3 linked regions of the Drosophila melanogaster genome follow. The protein of the gene in region 3 interacts with the protein of the main gene of each other region in a pairwise test. Each region holds a gene or a part of one and is shown on either strand. Other genes may lie near its edges.

What was found.
Region 1: the proteins of CCT5 (region 3) and coil interact in a two-hybrid assay, tested with the Drosophila melanogaster proteins (one large-scale study listed by BioGRID).
Region 2: the proteins of CCT5 (region 3) and CG7115 interact in a two-hybrid assay, tested with the Drosophila melanogaster proteins (one large-scale study listed by BioGRID).

The regions. Positions count from the first base shown.
Region 1 is NT_033778.4:8,123,265-8,128,846, forward strand, and holds coil (coilin), read right to left. Parts: upstream 3,979-5,582; 5' UTR 3,936-3,978; coding exon 3,801-3,935; intron 3,746-3,800; coding exon 3,660-3,745; intron 3,606-3,659; coding exon 2,269-3,605; intron 2,210-2,268; coding exon 2,003-2,209; intron 1,946-2,002; coding exon 1,806-1,945; 3' UTR 1,717-1,805; downstream 1-1,716. Other genes in the region: Nup50 (nucleoporin 50kD), read left to right, coding at 1-99, 156-1,285, 1,346-1,684; Socs44A (suppressor of cytokine signaling at 44A), read left to right, coding at 4,441-4,997, 5,060-5,531. UniProt on the Drosophila melanogaster protein: Component of nuclear coiled bodies, also known as Cajal bodies or CBs, which are involved in the modification and assembly of nucleoplasmic snRNPs. Required for Cajal body formation.
Region 2 is NT_033779.5:7,819,621-7,827,066, reverse strand, and holds CG7115 (uncharacterized protein), read right to left. Parts: upstream 5,533-7,446; 5' UTR 5,011-5,532; intron 4,426-5,010; 5' UTR 4,344-4,425; coding exon 3,967-4,343; intron 3,616-3,966; coding exon 3,039-3,615; intron 2,980-3,038; coding exon 2,716-2,979; intron 2,640-2,715; coding exon 2,587-2,639; intron 2,488-2,586; coding exon 2,184-2,487; 3' UTR 1,717-2,183; downstream 1-1,716. Other genes in the region: Rack1 (receptor of activated protein kinase C 1), read left to right, coding at 1-6, 86-297, 731-1,366; LanB1, read right to left, coding at 6,677-7,446.
Region 3 is NT_033778.4:12,172,029-12,179,222, reverse strand, and holds CCT5 (chaperonin containing TCP1 subunit 5), read right to left. Parts: upstream 4,422-7,194; 5' UTR 4,303-4,421; coding exon 4,195-4,302; intron 4,128-4,194; exon of another isoform or gene 4,113-4,127; coding exon of another isoform or gene 4,095-4,112; intron 3,487-4,094; coding exon 2,505-3,486; intron 2,446-2,504; coding exon 1,907-2,445; 3' UTR 1,707-1,906; downstream 1-1,706. Other genes in the region: EndoG (endonuclease G), read left to right, coding at 750-1,682.

The DNA.
Region 1 (5,582 bases), 4.0 Mb from region 3:
AGGCGCGCCGCAAGATTGCCGGTGGATCGTCCGCCGCTGAAGAGGATGGCGCCGAAGAAAAGACTGCAGAGCCCAAAAGTGTGTTCAGTGGCTTTTCCGGTAAGCTATCAAATCCATGCAGACCTGAGGGACTTGCTCACTCCGATTGCTTTTAGGTTTCGGCAAGCCGGCTGCGAGCCCAGCCGCGGGTTCGCCTTTCTCCTTCCTGGCCAATGTGACGGCACCAGCCACGACCTCTAGCAGCGAGCCAAAAAAGTCTGCATTCTCGTTCGGGTTCAGCTCCAGTTCCAGTTCGGCCGATCGGCCTGTCAGCACTAGCATTTGCGGCACCGCCAGCACCAGCAGCACGGCCCCCTCTCCTTTGCCGGCCAAGGAATCAACAAGTACCGTCGATGGCGCCAAGCCGACCACCTCGATATTTGGCAACATATCAGCTGCCAAGAAGGAGAGTAGCGAGGCCAAAACCAGCAGCAGCAGCACTAGCCTCACATCCACCATGGAGACCTCCGAGTACCGTGAAAGCGTTGCTGACCTAAATCGGTCCGTCATAAAATTCCTGCAGGACCAAATGGGCAAAAGTCCCTACTGCATACTGACTCCAGTGTTTAAGAACTATGATGAGCATCTAAAGGATCTGCAAGACGAGGAGAGCGCCAGAACGAACTCCACGAAATCCAAAACGGCACAAGCTCGTTCTCAAGAACCAGTTGCAAAGGTGTCCCGTGCATCGTCGCCACCAAAAGCGGCTACTACGTTTACGTTTGGCAAGCCCAGCGCGCCAATAGGCGCCAGCGTATCGCCCTTAGCCAAGAAACCCAACTGCACCATAACCAGTGGTGGAACAACCACCACGACCGCAACACCACTGGTCTCCTTCGGCAGTACGGCATCGTTCACTGCGCCAGTGCCGTCCTCCTCCAGTATCTTCAGTTTGACAGCAAAACCCACTGGAGAAGCCAAATCCGATGATACCCCTAAGTCCAGCATTTTTAGCTTTGGAGCAAAGGATACGACCACTAAAAAGGATGAGCCTAACTTCTCGGCACCGAAGACCAATGGCTTTTCCTTCGGACTGAAAAGTAACAACGACGACAAGCCAAGCACCTCGTTGTTTGCGGGTTTCGGAAAAGCGCCTGGAGGAGCAGGAGACGGCGCAAAGGGCTTTTCCTTCACCAACAGTGCCACGCCCTTCTCTCTCGGAAACATTCATCCGCCAGCTGCAGCGGCAGCGCCTGCGGAGGAGGAAAAAGAAGAGGATACGCCCCCAAAAGTCGAGTTTAAACAGGTGATGATAAAAGAATTTTCTTTTCGAAGGGAAAGATAATATAACTTCTACTCCAAACAGGTTGTGGAGGATGACGCTATATACTCCAAGCGGTGTAAGGTGTTCATTAAGAAAGACAAGGACTTTGGCGATCGTGGCGTGGGCACGTTGTACTTGAAACCTGTCAAGGACTCCGAAAAGATCCAACTGTTAGTCCGCGCCGACACCAATCTGGGCAACATCTTGGTCAACCTTATTCTTAGCAAGGGTATACCTTGCCAGCGCATGGGCAAGAACAATGTGCTGATGGTCTGCGTGCCCACGCCAGAGGACTCCAAGGCCACATCGCTGTTGCTACGCGTAAAGACCGGTGACGAAGCCGACGACTTGCTGGAGAAGATCAAGGAGCACATCAAGTAGAGGATAGACAACTAACATGAATTCGTACATATAGATGTTGTTTAATCGTTTGTATTTTAAAAGCTATAAATGTACGAAACCCTGGAAATAGAACTCAAGAATGTACACACAAAAATGATAATCAGTCAATTGTGGCTACAATGATTTTGGCTTCAAGCATATCTTTGAGATGAATACTTAAAGTTCGCACATCCTCAGAAGACTCGTCCAACCCACTCATATAATATTGACGCAACATGCGACCGATTTCGGGGGGATAAGCTAAAAATTTTAACGAGATCAGTTTCGGGTATACAATTTAAATTGATAGTCGCTTACTTATTGTTTCCACTGTGACAATTTTGGTGCGCCGGTTAACGTAAGTGCACCTCCCGGCGACAAATTCGGTTGTGCCAGAATTGGCGTTTCCCTTAATCTTCAGCAGTTTAAATATAACCGTATCGCCCCTGGACGGCAGGCTATTGAGTGGAGTTGCAGTCCGCAGTAGGTCCCTTATAATATCCAAAGATTGCCTATTTTCTACTACTAAGATGTCAAGGGCACTCATAAGCATACATCTACCATTTAAATGCCTCGTATCTCACCTGGAATCGGTTCAATATCAGAGTCGCCGTATGAAACGTCGATATTGGAGTCGTCTACCAACATCACATCGTCGTCGGAATCGGATACTAGTTGTTCCTCAAAAATGGGCACTGTTACCGTTTTAACATCCTTCGAATCAACGTTATTTTTAATCGGAGATGCACTTCCGTCATCTGGCAAAATTTTTTCGACTTTGGGTGTTTTTTCCATAGATGTGTTGTTCTGTAGAAATGACTCAGTAAGTTCAAGTGGATTAGTTGCTTCAGCTTCGGACGGAAGAGTGGTCTCAGCTTCAGTCGAATTGTCCAGATAAGCGGATTCAACTGCTCCTATGGCCCCCGGAAGAGTGGTTGATGTTTCAATGATGTCTTCGCAAAGAGGTGCAACTGCTCTCTTTATACCTTCTGAAACATTTTTTTTATCCTTTACATCTGGTAATTCTTCGTCGTGCAAAATTTCGTAGGATTTAGGCTTTAAGGTTGAATCCTTCCCATTGCTTGGGAATTGTTTAGCCGTATCATCACTCTTAGCTCCTTTCTGCAGCAAAAAACGAGGACTGATGGGCTTAAGTTTTTTATATTCCAGAATTTCAATTTGTTGTTTTTTAGTGGGAAATTGAAATATGCGCGGAACATTAAAGGGCATCTCCAAGAGAGGGGAGCGGAACGAAATCGATAGGAGGCTAGCAGCAATGCCAGGACTCTTCTCAATTTGGTCCCCTGCTTTCAGTTGAGATAGTTTATCCGGAATTTTGTTGGACTCCAAGTGTGTTTTGTCCTGTTGCTCCTCTCGAGTTTCGTTTTCCTTCGTTACCACACCAGATTTTTCTGATAGAATGTCAGGCGATGTCTCTTGATTCTTGCTTTCTGACATTTTACCCTCCTTGAGCGTGCATCGAGAAATACTCTTAGGAGCAGGTTCATTCTCTACCTGGTCAGATGCCTCGGGCGATTTGGTCGGTTTCTTGTTTTTGGATTTATTTTTAATCTGAGGAGCAGATTCCTTGTTCTCTGTCTCGATGTTCGCTGACATGTTAGAAACTTCTGTCTGAGTTTCAGGGGCCTTTGGAGTGCCTTTGTTTGTCAAGAGCTTTGATTGTACAGAAGGTCCAGGAGCCATATCTAGCAACTCCTTCTTTCTCACACGAGATGGGTTTTCTGCAATATTTATCCATTCTGAGTTGTTCTGGTTCTTGGAGCGCTTTGAAGGTCGGAGGGGAGTGGAGGCGGTTAGGTGAACCTGTTCCTCGACGGATCGATTCTTGCGCTTTTTACTGGATTTTACAGGAGCAGGGCTCACAAAGGTATCACTATCGTGGCTGGCAAACCGAAAGGCTCTGCAAGGGATGAATATGCTCAAGTAGATCGTAAAAAGAAATAAGCTCACCTACTTGAGTCCTTCGGCAGAGTTCAACACTTTGATAGACTCCCTCGGGGGCAGATAGCATCCATCTGAGGTGAGCAGACTAATGTCCTTCTGTTTGAATGCAATTTATTTAGAATTAGCAGTTAGAGATTCTTAAAAATCTTGCCAAGCTGAAGAGGTTTTGTATGTGGTCCTGGAGGTCCTTGATGTTGTTCCATGCTGCATCGATGAAAACCAACGAATTTCGTCGTTCGTCCTTGAAAAAGTTTGATAGATCCACCTTCATGCTGGAGTGTTGCATTTTTGACTTAGTTTTCTTATGATTAAAATGATTTTAAATGTGCTAGAGATGGAAGTATGTTCGATTTCGTTATCGTTAAATCGATGTGTTTAAATTTCTGTCAAATTAATGTCATATTTTTTGTAGCGATTTATAAAAATAAAGCTTATTTGAATGACAAACTACATTAATATTAAAAAATTGCAATATGGAAAACAATATATTTAAGTCAACGAGATTTTACTTGAAATAATTTAAGTTAGTTTTAAAAATGCCTAAAGCAGAGGGCTGTAATAATGGATAAATTAAAGCTTTGCCTTGCAGAGAATTTAATTTTTTAAACTCCCCTATGTTATCGATAGCATTTACCAGCTACGCACGACCGATAGCGATAAGACAGTTCTTGTGTACAACGAAAACAAATAGTTCTTATCAATAAAGTTAGGCATTGATCACGGCTCCGAATTAGATCAATGATGTAATTCCACCACGAGGAAGCTCCGATCCGATCCGATTCCACTCCAAAATGAGCCACGGCGACCAGAGTCAAAACCAGAGCAGCCAGCGGAGCCAGGCGCTCACTGGCGGTGGTGACTCCCCGAGGGACAGGGAGAAGGAAAAGAAGGGCTGGTTCCACTCGCTGACCAGGCGCAAGAAGTCCGACTCGGCGCTGGCCGTGACTGCATCCGCCGCCGTCTCCACCAGTGGATCGCAGAACAACAACAACGAAGTGTGCGTCCTTGAGGCAGCGGACTCTTCCATGGCCAGCTGCAGCAATGGGGGCACGGGCACAGGAACTCTGCGCAGAAGGCGGGACAAGGACAAGCGAAACGTGTTTGCCAGACTACGAAGGAAGGTGGGCCAAGGGCTCAGCTCCCTGCGAAACTGGCACTCCATGGGCGACTGCGACGACGGCGGAACTACTGATGCCACCTACGAGTTCCTTACGCCGGCCATCTGTCCGGAACCCACGCTACCATTCACACACGACTACTTGCGCTTTATCCGGAAGAAATGGCTTGAGCGCGAGGACGCCCACTCGCCCAACCAGATCATGTACAAGGCCTGCTCCGAGATGCTCAAGTAAGCGCCGTGTTTCTCCGTCCATCAACGATCGATGACTCATGCCCTTTGTTTGTTTTTAGCCAAGTGTGGTACTGGGGTGAGATCTCCAGGCGCGATTCGCAGCGGCAGTTGAGTGACAAGCCGACTGGGTCGTTTCTAGTCCGCGACTCGGAAACCAGCGGATCCCAATTCACGCTCAGCTTTCGGATTGTGAACGTAACCCTGCATTATCGACTGGAATATCGCGACAATTTTTGGCACTTCGAGGAACTTAAGTACGAGTCCATTGTCGAGATGATCGAAGATATCTTGCACCGCTGCACCAACGACAACTTTGTGTGCTTTGTGAAGGTTCCCAACGAGATGCAGCCACCGTTTCCAGTGATCCTCAAGTACCCGTTGAGCCGGTACTCCAACATGCCCAAGCTGCAGGACTTATGCCGCCGTGTTCTGCAGCGCCAGATGTCTCGCGAACAGCTGGCCCAGTTGCCAGTGCCGGCGCAGATGCTGGAGTACTTGTCGGTGGAGCGGGAGCTGGTCTTCCAGAGTTAGGCAACCGCCGCCCGCCGTCGAGAAGCCGCTGGTCAAAGCTTTAACACTGAA
Region 2 (7,446 bases), on a different chromosome or scaffold from region 3:
CCCGTGGTAAGTAATCGCCATTGAAATTCTTCGGATTTATCTGGTAGCACGTGCGTATATTAATGGCCACCATCTCGATTCGCAGACAAGACCCTGATCGTGTGGAAGCTGACCCGCGACGAGGACACCAACTACGGCTACCCCCAGAAGCGTCTCTACGGACACTCGCACTTCATCAGCGACGTGGTGCTCTCCTCCGATGGCAACTACGCCCTGTCCGGATCCTGGGATCAGACCCTTCGCCTGTGGGATTTGGCCGCCGGCAAGACCACCCGTCGCTTCGAGGGACACACTAAGGTGGGATAAGATTCCAATTGCATTTAGTTCGTTTAGGGAACTGAGATTTTGAACCGATCTGTACCGGCAAAAGGCTAAATGTAAGGTTAGGAGTGAGGTTAGGCCCGCCTTTGCCGCGTACAAATCGAAAAAATATATATTGCGCCTATGCGAGGCAGAATTACTGGTTGACATCTGTACGACGTACGCTTCACCCTTCGCTCGAGTCTCGGCTATAAATTGCTTGAAGCTCCATCGTAAGTAGGCAAACAATCTCTGATACCCATTGATTCCTAATTAGTTGCAAGAAACCCATCTGGATTCCGTTCACTGACTAATTGAGTTGGGACTATGCCCATTCAGTTGGTCAGTGAAATATCCAGTAAATATATTATTTTTATGAAAACCATACCAATACCATTAGCTAATCGTCAAATGCTTGTTCGCTTTCTAGGACGTTTTGTCGGTTGCCTTCTCGGCCGATAACCGTCAGATCGTGTCCGGCTCTCGGGACAAGACCATCAAGCTGTGGAACACCCTGGCTGAGTGCAAGTTCACCATCCAGGAGGATGGCCACACCGACTGGGTGTCGTGCGTGCGCTTCTCGCCCAACCACTCCAACCCGATCATCGTGTCCTGCGGCTGGGATCGCACCGTCAAGGTCTGGAACTTGGCTAACTGCAAGTTGAAGAACAACCACCACGGCCACAACGGCTACCTGAACACGGTGACCGTCTCGCCCGATGGCTCCCTGTGCACCTCAGGTGGCAAGGACTCCAAGGCCCTGCTGTGGGACCTCAATGACGGCAAGAACCTGTACACTCTGGAGCACAACGACATCATCAACGCCCTGTGCTTCTCGCCCAACCGCTACTGGCTGTGCGTGGCCTACGGACCCTCGATCAAGATCTGGGATCTGGCATGCAAGAAGACCGTTGAGGAGCTGCGCCCCGAGGTCGTTTCGCCCACGTCGAAGGCCGATCAGCCCCAGTGCCTGTCCCTGGCCTGGTCCACCGACGGCCAGACTCTGTTCGCCGGCTACTCCGACAACACCATCCGCGTCTGGCAGGTGTCTGTTTCGGCTCACTAAGCTACTGACCTTTGTAACGGGCGTCAAATTTGTTTAGCTAAAACAAAAATAAAATTTAAGCGTCCTTAACTGAAATTTGTGTATCTTGTAGCGGCTGAATTAGTTTTAACTTTAGGCTTTGGGCTATAGAGTTTTCTCCGGATAGATGGGAATAGTATAAACAGTGGGACAATTTAGTTTAGGCAGAAGATAAGTAAATGTTAATAAAGAAAACATTTTATATAAACTTTAATCGAAAGTGGATGTTTTTAATCCCTAAACTACAAACCAGATCATTTCATTGAAATCCAAAACGAATAATGTTGAGAAAAACAATTAGAAATTGAATTTAAGTAGCAAAACGAAATGTTCTCGTTTCGTATGCATTGTTTTATTCGTAAAAACATTTCGACATTTAGAAAATGTTTTCTTTTACACGTATAACAAATAAATTAAATAAATAGTTACGTGATGATGTTACCCTGACTGAGTCAGTGACTGTGATGATTTTCGTGTGCGAATTGGAAAAACGGAGTGCACGGCAATGTGGCGGCGGATGCAAACATATTTTGTTTAAACAAAACAACATTGACTAACAAACAACCTTAATATTAAGACAAATGATGAACGCATTTTCGAGTGATGAATGTGTATGCATGTCTGTAATGGGATGAATGAACGCTGCCTTTGGACAAGTAACAAAAAGGTCAAAAGGTATTTAGCAAAATGCCTAACTAGAAAAATTCGGGCACTTTCGTTTGTTTTTCTTGGGGAGAAGGAAATTTTTAGGAGAAAAGCTGAAGAGCATTTCTTAGCAGGCACTCTTATCTATCGTTTTTCATTTGGTTTTGATTGAATTCGAGCGTTGCACAACTGCAGGCGCAACTGGTTGAGATTTGGCTGGGACTTTTAGGGATTCTTCTCCCGCTTTTCCCGCTGAGCTGCCAATCTTGTAGACATCGTTCTTGAAGACGATCACCAGCACGGTGATGTTGTCCACGGAGCCACGTTTATACGACTCCATGGCAAGTGATTTGGCGCCAAAGTCCGGCTCTTTCAGATGCTCCAACGCAAAAGTGCAGGCCTCCTCATTGCTGAACGTGTCCCACAGCCCATCGGATGCCAGTATCAGAAAATGGGGTCTATAAGAAAGTATTTCATTAAATACAGGTCTAATGTAATGCACTTTACAACTATCAAATGGTCGTTTGGATTGTTGTTGCAAAGTGTTGTTCACTCACTTGTGATCGTTTAGTTCGAAGGTCAAAATGTCCGGCGTAGCAATCACCAGATTCTGTAAGCGTGTGGTTAAAAATAGTGTCAAGATTAGCCTCGTTAGTAACTCGTTGGAACCATCCCATTTTTCCCACCTTATCTTTAAGCGGATAGTCCCCTAGAGCACGTGACGTGGCCAACACCCCGGCCACACGCCAAACGCCTCGGAAGGCGATGAATCCGCCTGCATCGTGGATTCTCTTTCGTTCTCGCACTTGCTGCGGCTTGTGATCGAATGAAAGCGGTATGGCGATTCCACGCCAGTCGTACATGACTCCGCGGGAGTCGCCCACATTGGCCACAATCAGCTTTGAGCCCTGAACTATCGCTATTAGAGCGGTGGTTCCCGCAATGTTGGTCTGCAATTAAGATCAGTTAGAATTGTCTCTTAAGATTAAGTAAAAAGAGGTTCCCTTACCGCTCTCTTGGCCTGCTCCACAAGCTTGTAGTCGGCCGACATGATCTCGTCCGTGATCAGTTTACCAAAGTTAATACGTCCGTGTTCGATGTAGCACTTGGCTTCGTAGTTTGGAGGTGGCGCATTGGCTGCTCCGTTCTGTCCGTTGTTGTTGTTGTTGAGGAAGGAATCCTTGGCGGCTCCCAAATTCCCACTGGCTCTCATCGCCGAGTTTAATTGGACTGTGTAGATGTCGGCAATGGATGCCTCGGTTGTCTTTTGCTTAATAGCACTACAATCCGCCGTGGTGCTGTGGGCCTTCCTTAGACTATCCTTTCGCATCACCCCTGCCGTCGGTTCTGTGTTCTCCTTGTTTGCATCCTTGCGACTCTGCTTGCGCGCTAAATAGGGACTCTTATCGTAATCTCCGGAATTTCCTTCCGTCTTCAGAAGCTTGGACATCTCGATGATCTTATTGTAGATGTTCTTCACCAGCACATCCTTGGCGAAGTCTGCGGCAAACTCGCCGCCATGACCGTCAAATACGGCAAAGAAGGAGATACCAGTGTTGTTGTTGATGTTCTCCTCGATAATAAACCTAAGATGTAAATAAAAGTCTTTAGTCTTTAGTTTCTTGGAATGTGTACATTTGAATAGAGATGTCACTAAGTTGTTTCTAAAGACCCAAATTATTATTATCTAGTCTAAATTTGACATATGGAAAAGATTTATATAGCTATAAAGTGTTGCAATGCTATTTAATGAATGAAAATGAGTGTTGCCAAGAATTTATTCCTCAATAGATCATTTAAATCTAATAAAAACACTCTTAGCCAATTTGTAAATCCTAAAATGCTGTCGATCGTGACAGATCTTTGTATATTTCAGCTACTATGTAAGTGCTATCTACAATATAGTTTATCCCTGGGAATTGTGACTTCATACGAACCTATCCTCCATTCTTGGCCTGCGTCCCAGGACCGCGAAGGCCGAGCTCTGCTGCTTCATCTCCTCCCAGCTCTGGTGATCACCAGCACTGGCCGACAGCTCCATCATCTTGACGGCCTTCTGGCGACCGAGGGTTGCCTGGATGCGTCCCAGGATGCTGCGACTCCACACATCTACCGCTTGCAAATAGAGCAACAGGACGAAGAGGATCAAGCCGCAGAAGATGACCTCCGGCCGAAGGACATACAGTCGGCACAGCTTCCATATGTAGGCCAGCGGGGAGTTGATGGACGAGAAGCCCACCGCAAATTTGGACAGGATTTTCATGTGCGATACGTATGTCTGATAGAACACCTTGTCTTCCAGTTCGTCGTCCATGGGAAATGCCGGGCTATCTGTATACTCTGCTGGCGCTTGATTTCGGCTCTGTCAATGTGTTTCAAGCAAATCGCATGCGAAACTGTCAGCGGTAAATGTTGATGTGGGTGTCAGTGGGTGTATATGCAAGGAATAAAAAACGAAATTAAAGTAAACAACAAAGGGGTTGGGCATTTTAATATGCAAGACTTTCCCGTTTAAATTCTCTCAGACTCGGACGGAATCGGAAGTAATATAATTTCCCATTTTTCGATGTCTGAGATCATTATTTACTTTATGGTTTCAAAGAACTCTGCTTAAGATCATTTCGAAAAACATTTTATAATGTTAAAATTTTAAATTATTTTTATATGTAGTTGAACGCAAGTTTTAGTATTATAGCAAATAGTTTATTACACTGTTGATTAATAATTTAAAATGAATGCGATTAATTTATTAATAAAAACGATATCTTTTTATAAAAATTTTAACGGTAACAATATATTGATCAACTTTAAAAGCTTTTCAGAAAACTGTATGAAATTATTTGTTTCGAATTCAGAATTTTTAAAATTTTTACTATTTTTTTTTATGCACTTATGCAGATTCCGACGCGACCTCAATTGAATGGGAAAGATTGCAGATTGCTCGCAAAATGAAAAACCCAGTCCATTTGGGGAAAACGTACTCTGGGGGCAAAGCACTTGAAGCTGCACGTCAGATGTCGTTTTATTTTGCTTTTGTTTTGATTTTCTTATTTTCTGAATTTTCCACCGCCGCCGATGTTCCCGTTATTTTGGTTTATCGTCCGTCCCCGTTCCTTTTCGCCGTGTCCCTTTTTTCTGCGCTTACAAACGCTCTTTTGTCGCTCGCCCGTCGCCTTTCGTTGGCATTATATTTTCGGATGTTCTTCTTATTTTAAAAATAAACTCAGTTTCTTGCATAAAATCAGAACATCCGCACTGCGTGCGTGTGTGCGAGTGTGTGCTCTTTATACGTATGCACGTCGCACATCTGTCAATCGCGCCTGTGTGTGTGAGTGGCCGCACGGATGTCGCAATAAATAAATAAAAAATATATATATATTTTCACGCACTGCAACCTGAAAACCGATCCAAACAATGCCGACTTGTTCGGCGACACGTCTGTGTTTAATTAAAACAGAGCTCGAAACTTGCACTTGTTGAGATTTCAGCTGAAATTGATGAACTTTTGAAATATCGATAGGGGCCGAAGCGATAACTCTTATCGATAGCCAGCAGGGGTACTCTTTTCATGCAAAACTTTAGTGATTTTCGAGCAGGCAGGGATAACTAGAAATTGCATGATTTCAAGCACTTTTGCATTTTTTGCATTACCTTGACCTTTGTGCTTGAAGTGGGCTTCTCTGCAACTGTGCCAACTGCATTATTAATTTTTTAATTGTTATTAAATACCTGCTGAGCTCCTTAACGATCTTCTGTAACGGTGATCCATTCGTAACAACTTCCGGTTTTAAAAGAACCTCTGGCCCCCGAAAAAAAAATGTGGAAAATTATTTGGACGAAAATTAAAAACAAAAACAAGCCGCACGCGACGCGCAGAAGAACTAAAACAAAACGGAAAATGGAATAAATTGGCAATGTTTATGGCAGCATAAGTATACAATAGTATAGAAATCGAAGTACAGTGAAAATAGCATAAGCCGAATTTTTGTATATATTTGAACTCCAACAAACTTCTGTTTAAATACTTTTTATCTATATTAAGCTTTTAGGCTTCATTTCCAACGTTATTAATATTGTTTTATTCAACGTTTGTAAATAATATATTTCTGTTATTATACTTAAAAGTAGTTGCATTTGTTCAGCGAAAAAGATTTATTGTTGGGAAATAGAACTGTGTTGCAAAAATACTCTCACCTGTCGCTCTCCATTTAAATGACCATTATCTCATTCCTCTCCCGATCGAGCCCAAACAAATGCTAGACATTTCCACATTTAAGTAGTTTTATTTAATTACATTAATTGCATTACAAAATGGTATAGGGATAGTATAAGAAAAACTTAGCTCAGTGTGTACACATTAAAAGTGAAGGCATCGATTTCTTTCGCTCAATTTTTAAAATTAACATTGCAGTGTTGGTTTTCGCTTAGAGTACAAAACGTAACGGTAACTTAACAGTGGTTACATAATAACTGTCGCCTTCCTAGTTGTTCTTGTAGTTCTTTACTTGATTCTCGTATTTCGCAATTTGCTTATTTGTTCATGAATATGGCAATTTAGATGGCCACGCAAATGGATCTAAAAAATATTACTGATTTTAGTTATTTGCTTGTAATAGTATTAAAACTGCATTACTTACGTTTCCCAATCTACGTATAGCACTGCCTGTAGTGCGACCCCCGCTCCTTGATGTGAATCAGGTGCTCGTTGAGCTCCTTGTTCAAGGGGCCGATCTCGGCCTGCAATCGCAGTAGTTGTTGGTTCTTGTTCAGATAGACGGTCTGCAGATCGTTCAGATCCTTTAGCTTGGCGTTCGTATCGACTGTTAGTTTGGAGGCCCTCTGGAGCAGCTGCTTGGCCCTTTCCCTGGCATTTTCGGAGCGACTGGCGCGATCGGTGAGGGTCTGATTGGTGGCACTTGTGGCAGACTGAAGATTATTGGCCTCTCCGCGAGCCCTCATGGCCTCCAGTTTGACGCTACCCGCTTCCTTGGTTATCTCCTTGGCATCCCGATCGTTCTTCATTATGTTATTCTGCAGTTTCTGCACTTTCTTGGCCAATTTCTCAACCTGCTGTGCTGTGTTATTGGCCGGAGCTTCGGCGGAATACGTTTCCTCATCGATCTTCTCCAGATCCTGACCGGCCAACTCAATGTTACTGTTCGCCTGCTGAATGGCATCCTTGGCTTTACCCTGGGATTCATCTGCCGCCGCCAGGCTCTCCACGACCGAATTGGCAGAGTCCAGGATCTTATCGGCCTTCTCCTTGGTGGCATTGGCAATGCTCTGCAGATTATTGACCCTGTCCAAATCGGGTTTGGTCCTGTAGATTATGGCTTCAACATTCTTTAGCGATGAGACAGCCCTGTTGATTTGGTCGCCGAGGGTCTCAATCTCTTCGGGTTCCAGTTTCAGGTCCA
Region 3 (7,194 bases):
AACATTAAATTCTACATTGTACAATGGCATGTATTTGGGTTCGCCTAATATTGCTTTAAAATTAGAAGATTTTAATTCTGTTATAAAAATCTTTCTTTAACCTTAAAAATAATTTTATATGTGTTGTATGCCTTTTTAAAATTACTGTTTTAGCCATCGTTTTGTTCTGCGACACAATTGCTTTTTCTTAAAAATTCCTAAACAAAGAAGCAACAATTTTTTTACAAAATATAAGCTAAATTTTATAAATTGATGGTCACACTTTTCCTTTTAAGTCGGGGATCGGTTATCGAATAAATTTTAAAACATGGCAGCGCCCACTAAGTTATTTGATTTTAAACGCGAATTTCTTACAACCTGCTACACGCCGAGTGTGTATTAGAGCACATAAGACGAGGGGATATCCAGCCCTGGAATTTTGAACTGCCACGACGAGTTATTCGAGCTCGGATATCTTGCTGTTCACGAAGCCCATCTATCTATATGGAATTGGTAAGTACCACCATTTGCGACTTGGGCTACGGTTAAAGCTCACACGTCGCCTTTTTAAGTTATTAATACATTAATGAAATATACATAGTATACTTACTTATTTTCCCAAGCAAATTTAGCAATCCGTGCATATATTTATGTCTTTCACTGTAGTTCGTTCGACCACTTTAAACTGTGGTCACACTAAAGTACCTGAATTGTGCAATAGCGGTCGCTATCTGGTCTTTTTGTCCAGATTTTTAAATAAAACTGCCAAAATGAGTGCTCCTCGAGTGGGTGGCGTATTAGCTTTGGGTGCCACCGCCCTGGGCGCCTTTTATCTGGGCACCCACGTGGAACGCGAACGCCAGCACAATGGCTCCACAAGTGGCCTTCCGCGGCTGCCTGGTCTGCCCACCTTTGGAACTGTTTCGGCTGCCAGTTTGATTCCCGCCCAAGAGAACAATGTAAGCTTGACGGCAACTCCGTCTCGGATCGGACAGATCATGAAGTATGGATTTCCCGGACTCGATCACGTGCGCTCCCATTCGGACTACGTGCTGTCTTACGATCGGAGGAACCGGGTGCCCCACTGGGTGTTCGAGCACCTTACGGCAGAGTCGGTGGCGAAGAACGATGCCGTGGACAGATCGAAGTGCGATTTCAAGCAGGACGAGAGCATCCATCCGTTCTTCAGGTCACAGAACACGGACTACCGACGATCGGGCTATGATCGCGGGCACATGGCCGCCGCTGGAAATCACCGACTGCACCAGAAGCACTGCGACGAAACCTTCTACCTATCGAACATGGCGCCACAGGTGGGCCAGGGCTTCAACCGGGATGCCTGGAACACGCTGGAGGCACACGTGCGCAGACTGACCAAGACCTACTCCAATGTGTACGTCTGTACGGGTCCACTGTACCTACCGCACAAGGAGGACGATGGGAAATCGTATGTCAAGTACGAGGTCATCGGCGCCAACACCGTGGCTGTTCCCACCCACTTCTACAAGGTTATTGTGGGCGAGTCCGCGGACCACAAACTCCACATGGAGTCGTACGTGATGCCCAATCAGGTGATCAGCAACGACACTCCCATCAGTGTGTTTCAGGTGCCGCCAGAGAGCGTGGAACGCTCGGCGGGATTGCTCTTCTTCGATCAAATCAATCGCAAGCAGCTAACCACCATCAATGGCAAGAAAGTCTAGTCGATGTCTTAGTTTCGTTTTAGTGTATTTGAACAGGGATAGCCCCTTGTTTAATGTAATTTTCTTCTTTTCCAAAGAACTTGTGGATTAATAAAATTAAACAATTAATACAGATGTACATAGAGATGAGGCTTGACGCGGGTGTTGTTCGTGAAGAGATAGCGAAGCGTGGGGATGTGAATCTGAAACTAGATCTGATGTATGATGCTGCTGCTGGGCGGTCGTTACATGCCGCCTTCGTTCTTGGAGCGCACGTCGTCGATCTTGAGTATCATCTTGACGAGCTGCGTGGAGAGCAGAATCTGCTGCTTCTTCGAGTGCAGCGACTCCACCACGTTATGGCTCTTCATGTCCGAATCACCCGACAGCATGCAGTCGACACCCAGGCTGGACTTCTTCTCGGCCACCTGTCTGGCCTTCAGCTCCGACAACGTCTCGATGGGATGCAGGCCGCTGTTCTCCGCCAGAGCCAGCGGAATGCTCTCCAGGGCCACGGAGAAGGCGCGGAAGGCGTACTGCTCCAGCGTGGACAGTTGGTCGGCCTCCTTGGCCACAGCCAACGAGCAGCTAATCTCGGCAGCTCCACCACCGTAAACAATACGCGAGTCCTTCACAAGCGAACGCACCACGCAGATGGCATCGTGAATCGATCGCTTAGCCTCCGCAATGATCATGGCGTTACCTCCACGCAAGAAGATGGTCACAGCCTTGGAGTTTTTGCACTCCTCGATGACCAGCATCTTGTCCTTGGATGTTCCGAATGCTGAAAGAATCAAAATCACTTAGGAATGAACTAAATCCGACTATAAAATGAAAACCTACCCATTTCGCGAACGAGTCCCGCAACACCTAGTTTCTCAGGCGTGAGCTCTTCGAAACGCGGCACGATGCGTCCACCGGTGGCGATGGCAATCAGCTCGATCTCCGGACCGCCAACCCAGCGCACGGCGGGCAGCTCCTGCTGAAGCAACAGGTGGTTGGCCTCATCATCGAAGCCCCACTGGCAGATGGCAAGGGTGGCGCCGGCGTCCTTCACCTGCTTGACCATCTGGGTGAACTTCTCCTGCTCGTACTCGCGCAGCGCCCTGTAGTCTTCCGCGGAGGTAACATCGAGCTTATGCTTGGTCTTTGGCTTCGGGGGCTCAAACGGGCAGGTGAGAATGGCCAGCTTGACGTTCCTTAGCTCCTTGGGCATCTGCGAATGGCTGAGGGTCTTGTCAACGATGACACCCTTCACCAGCATCGAGTCCTCCATGCGACCGCCCACCTTGGTCTCGATCTTGATGAGCTCGAAGTTCACGTCCTTCTTCTCAATGTCGGCCACATTCAGCACAGCATCCACAGCCATTTCGGCCATCTGACGATGGCACTTGTTCACGATCTTGCTGCCCAGCGTGGTCATGGCGATCTGGATAAGTGGCTCCTTGTTCTTCGGGTCCACGGGGAAGGGTTGGGCGATCGCGTCCAGCTGCTTGATGGCGCACTGGGCGGCCAATTCAAAGCCATCGGCGATGCGAATGGGATGAATGCCCCTGTCGATCAGTCCCTCGGCCTGCTCCAAGAGTGCTCCGGCCAGCACGACAACGCCGGTGGTTCCATCGCCGATCTCGTCGTCCTGTGACTGCGACAGCTGCACCATCAGCTTGGCAATCTCGTGGTCAACCTCCATCAGCTTCATGATGGTGGCGCCATCGTTGGTCACAGTCACGTCGCCGTCGGGACTGACCATGATCTTGTCCAGACCCTTGGGACCCAGAGAGGTCTTCAGGGTGGACGCGATCTGGCGGGCGGCCATAATGTGCGTCTGTTGGAGCAAAATGGATAATTTAGTAAGTACTTAGGGTAGACATTACAATTATTTATCAGTAAGATGGTGAATGGAAATTAGATCTTTCTCAAGCGCAACTGCTTCTAAATCAAATGTTAAGATTTACTTTCAAATTTAAAGTTTAAATCGACGTGGTCTAAATTGATATTCTAGTTGGATTCTAGAATATACCAATAACTGAATGAAGACTAGGATGGACATGTGTATACAGTAATTTTCATACAAAAGCAATAGAATCTGCATCTGCAGATGGAATTATTGGGTTCTTTAAGCATTTCAGTGACTTTTTATCCGGACTTCCAAACTTTTCGCAGTGCGCGTGACTCAGCCGGCAATGAAAGAAAAACATCTGGGCGCCGTTTTAACCTCAAAATCGGCCAGACAAATTGTTTTTCCAAAATGCATTGTTTATGAGTGCAACTAAAGAATGAAAGCTTGTTCGGAGTAATAGCTCACTACCAAAGAAGGATATATTCAGCATATTATTAAATATTAGCAACAAAAAGACTATTTAAAACCGGCTTTTTAGAACATCTGGAATGTTCCGCAGACGATGCGTCACTCCTGTGACTTAGTGAGCACACCAATTGCACGCAGGGCATTTGCCTACGAATCTGATCCTGACCAGCTCGTCCAGGATGCGGAATACAACGCCAGGAGATGGTGAATCGCAGTTTCATTTACCTTTATGGCATCTGTTCCTGTGATGCGCTTCTGGCGCTCCTGGTCGCGCAGGATGATGAAAGGCCGACCATATTCGTCGAACGCGAACGTACCGGGAAAGGCGCTCATGGTTTTTTAGATGAAAGGATGACGGATTCGCACGTTTTTCCAAGATTTAATTCCCGAGTTTATTTTATTCCAACGAACGAACGAACGACTGATCCTAAATTTGACCAAACGCGTTGTGACTAGGGTTGCGAGAACGACCAGAATGTTATCGATATTTTCTAATATTTTTTTGATTATTGTAAATTAGTAATTGGGATATTCTCTTAGATGTTAAAGGCTTTATTTAAGTTGTACTTAAATTTCATGGATTTGTCAATCTGACAGCTGTTAATTATTTAAAACTGTCACGTTACTTTATAGCATAACTGTAATTATTTACCATTACGATATTCATATCTCGACATTAGCCTAATTGGATCGTTTCTTATGTTTTTTAAGTTAATCAATATTAACAATTAATGAGACCCGCTTAGGAAATCGACGTAAAACTTCTATACTATATCCTCAAGTTATTTACAATTGTAAAAGCAGAAAAGGTACGCCTGTATAAAATTGGAACACGTAAATTAGATTTAAGAATCCCTTAAAGAAGTAACTGTTGTTTGTGACAATAGGTTGCTGGAGCTTGAACCTAGTGTGACCAAACTTAGCCGGCCAGAGATGTACCGAAAAAGTCGGCGAGAAACGTATAAAAGGAGTAGCACGTTGGTATTTTCTTCAGTTTTATACTAACTTTTGACGACATCAGATCACAAATTGCTGGGAGGTTTGCACCCCAATCAAAGCAAGTTTTACAACAAAAGTCAATTTTCGTTCGACTCGATTTCTTCTCAGTGCGTTAAGTTGCAACCATTAAGTGTGAAAATGCCATCCAATATGAATAATAAACTGTAAGTAATGGTGTCCAAAGCGGTTGCCATACACGACGACAAAAAGTGCAAAGTCGATTTTGTAGTGCGAAGAATAAAAAAAAGCAAAAGAGAAATGAAATGAAAATAGTGCGAGGGAGTCCACGACTCCTTTCCTTTCCAATTGGTGGCAAGTAGGCTTGGTTGTAATGGTTTGTAGTGCAATAGTTAAGTGTAGTATAAGTGTAACCTGCTAACAAATCGGGTAACGGTGTTGGTTGATTTTCTCACGTACGCATACGCACATACGCACACATGTAAACATGTGAAGCTGTGTGGGTCAGTATGTTTTGTTTTACTGTAAAATCATCTGTGACGCACACAGAGGTAAAAACAATGAGAACGACGGAAATAAATAATGGAAATTGTGGCCATGTATGTGTAGTGGCACGATTCGTAAGTAAAGTAATTAATTGATTTCACCGGAGATATATGAAATTTAATTTTTTACTTTATTATGCCTTATTTATTTACTGTTTTGTCTTATGTTCAAGATGGCCGCCTGCAGCGTTGCCACGTTCTTTGCGCTGCTTTAGTAGTTTCGTTGATTGTAACCACAAGTCTATAACAATAATCCGCTTACATAAATGCTTTATTGATACTTCTGTTTGCAGGAAATTTTTATTAATTAATTATCGCAACCGACACATCATGTTTGGGGATCTGGCAACGCTGTGGTCCCTCATTTATTTACAGTTTGAACCTCCTTCCAATTGGAGAACCCATAACATCTGTGTGCGTATGAGTTTTCTCTATTCTTTGTTTACTTGTTTCTCTTCCATCGGAAATGGCATTTGGTAATTTTGCTTTATGCGATCCAATTGGGAAGATACTCGTTAACAACTGGTATTTCTTCCATTACTTTTGAGTCTTTAGCGATTTACCAGCGTTTCGTTTAAGTTCTTCCTCATTTTTTGGGGGGGCATCTTGGGCGGCTTTTATTATGTCATACAACGACAAATACAAACGCACGCACACAGGCATAATAGCTGTAAACAAGGGAAAATTCCACTCGCCATTGCAGTTTCGCGTTGTTTTTGTGCGGCAAGTGATATAGGAGAAAGAGGGATGGATATATGCACTGCATATACATACATATGTGCATATGTATGTAGAAGAGCGATATTGGGTCATCGGCACTTTTCTAGCAGCTTCTTTGGTGCCTCCTTCAACTATTTCTACCCCTTTATCTTATCTCGCGGAACCTCACAAGATCTTATCCCTTATCTCACCATTGTTCTGGTTATAGCATATGTATAATAATTTCCAGTGCTCTTGTTTGCTTTATGACATCTTGCTTTTGTCTAAAAATCCTGCTTGTGTTTGCTTAGTACACTTCGTCTTTTACGATTGTTTTTCCACTGTCGAAAGATTGTACCTGATCCCCCAATATTTGTCCAAGCAGAACGACAAGTTTTGATGTTGATTACACAAGCGCACCAATTACGTTATCTTATCGCCCACTTTTTTTTTATCTGGATCTAATCTGGATAATGATCCAGATCTGCTTTGCTTTTTTCTACTTTAACTGAACTGCATTGCAGTTTCAGGAGGAAGTTGAAAAGTTTTACACATGGTTTTCCTCTTAAAGATATCGTTTACAAATTAATTAGGGTAGTTCTTTGCTTATCGCTTTCGTCACGCCGAAGACACATGATCAACGATGAAAGACCAGCCAAAGTACAAAGTGATTACCGTAAGTTACTACACCAAAATATGGCAACACGTTTTTTTTTTTGGCAAAAATGTGCTCACACAGCTAAGGGCACAAAAATAAAACCTGTGTGAATTAAGATTCTGTTTAACTTCATTAACATGAAATCCTTTTGGTTCTAAATTTGTATACATTTTCTATGGAAACTACCTGGAAAATACCAAAATATCAAAGAGCTTGTTTACACAATTTTTTTTGACTTTGTTAATTGAGCTACAGATATTTGTTATTTGTTTAGACTGAAACATATGGAAAGATTGTCAATCAAAGCTGCAAAAAGCGAAGAAGCCTACGTCAGCAATTATAAAGTCCAGTTTATTGTCGATAAAT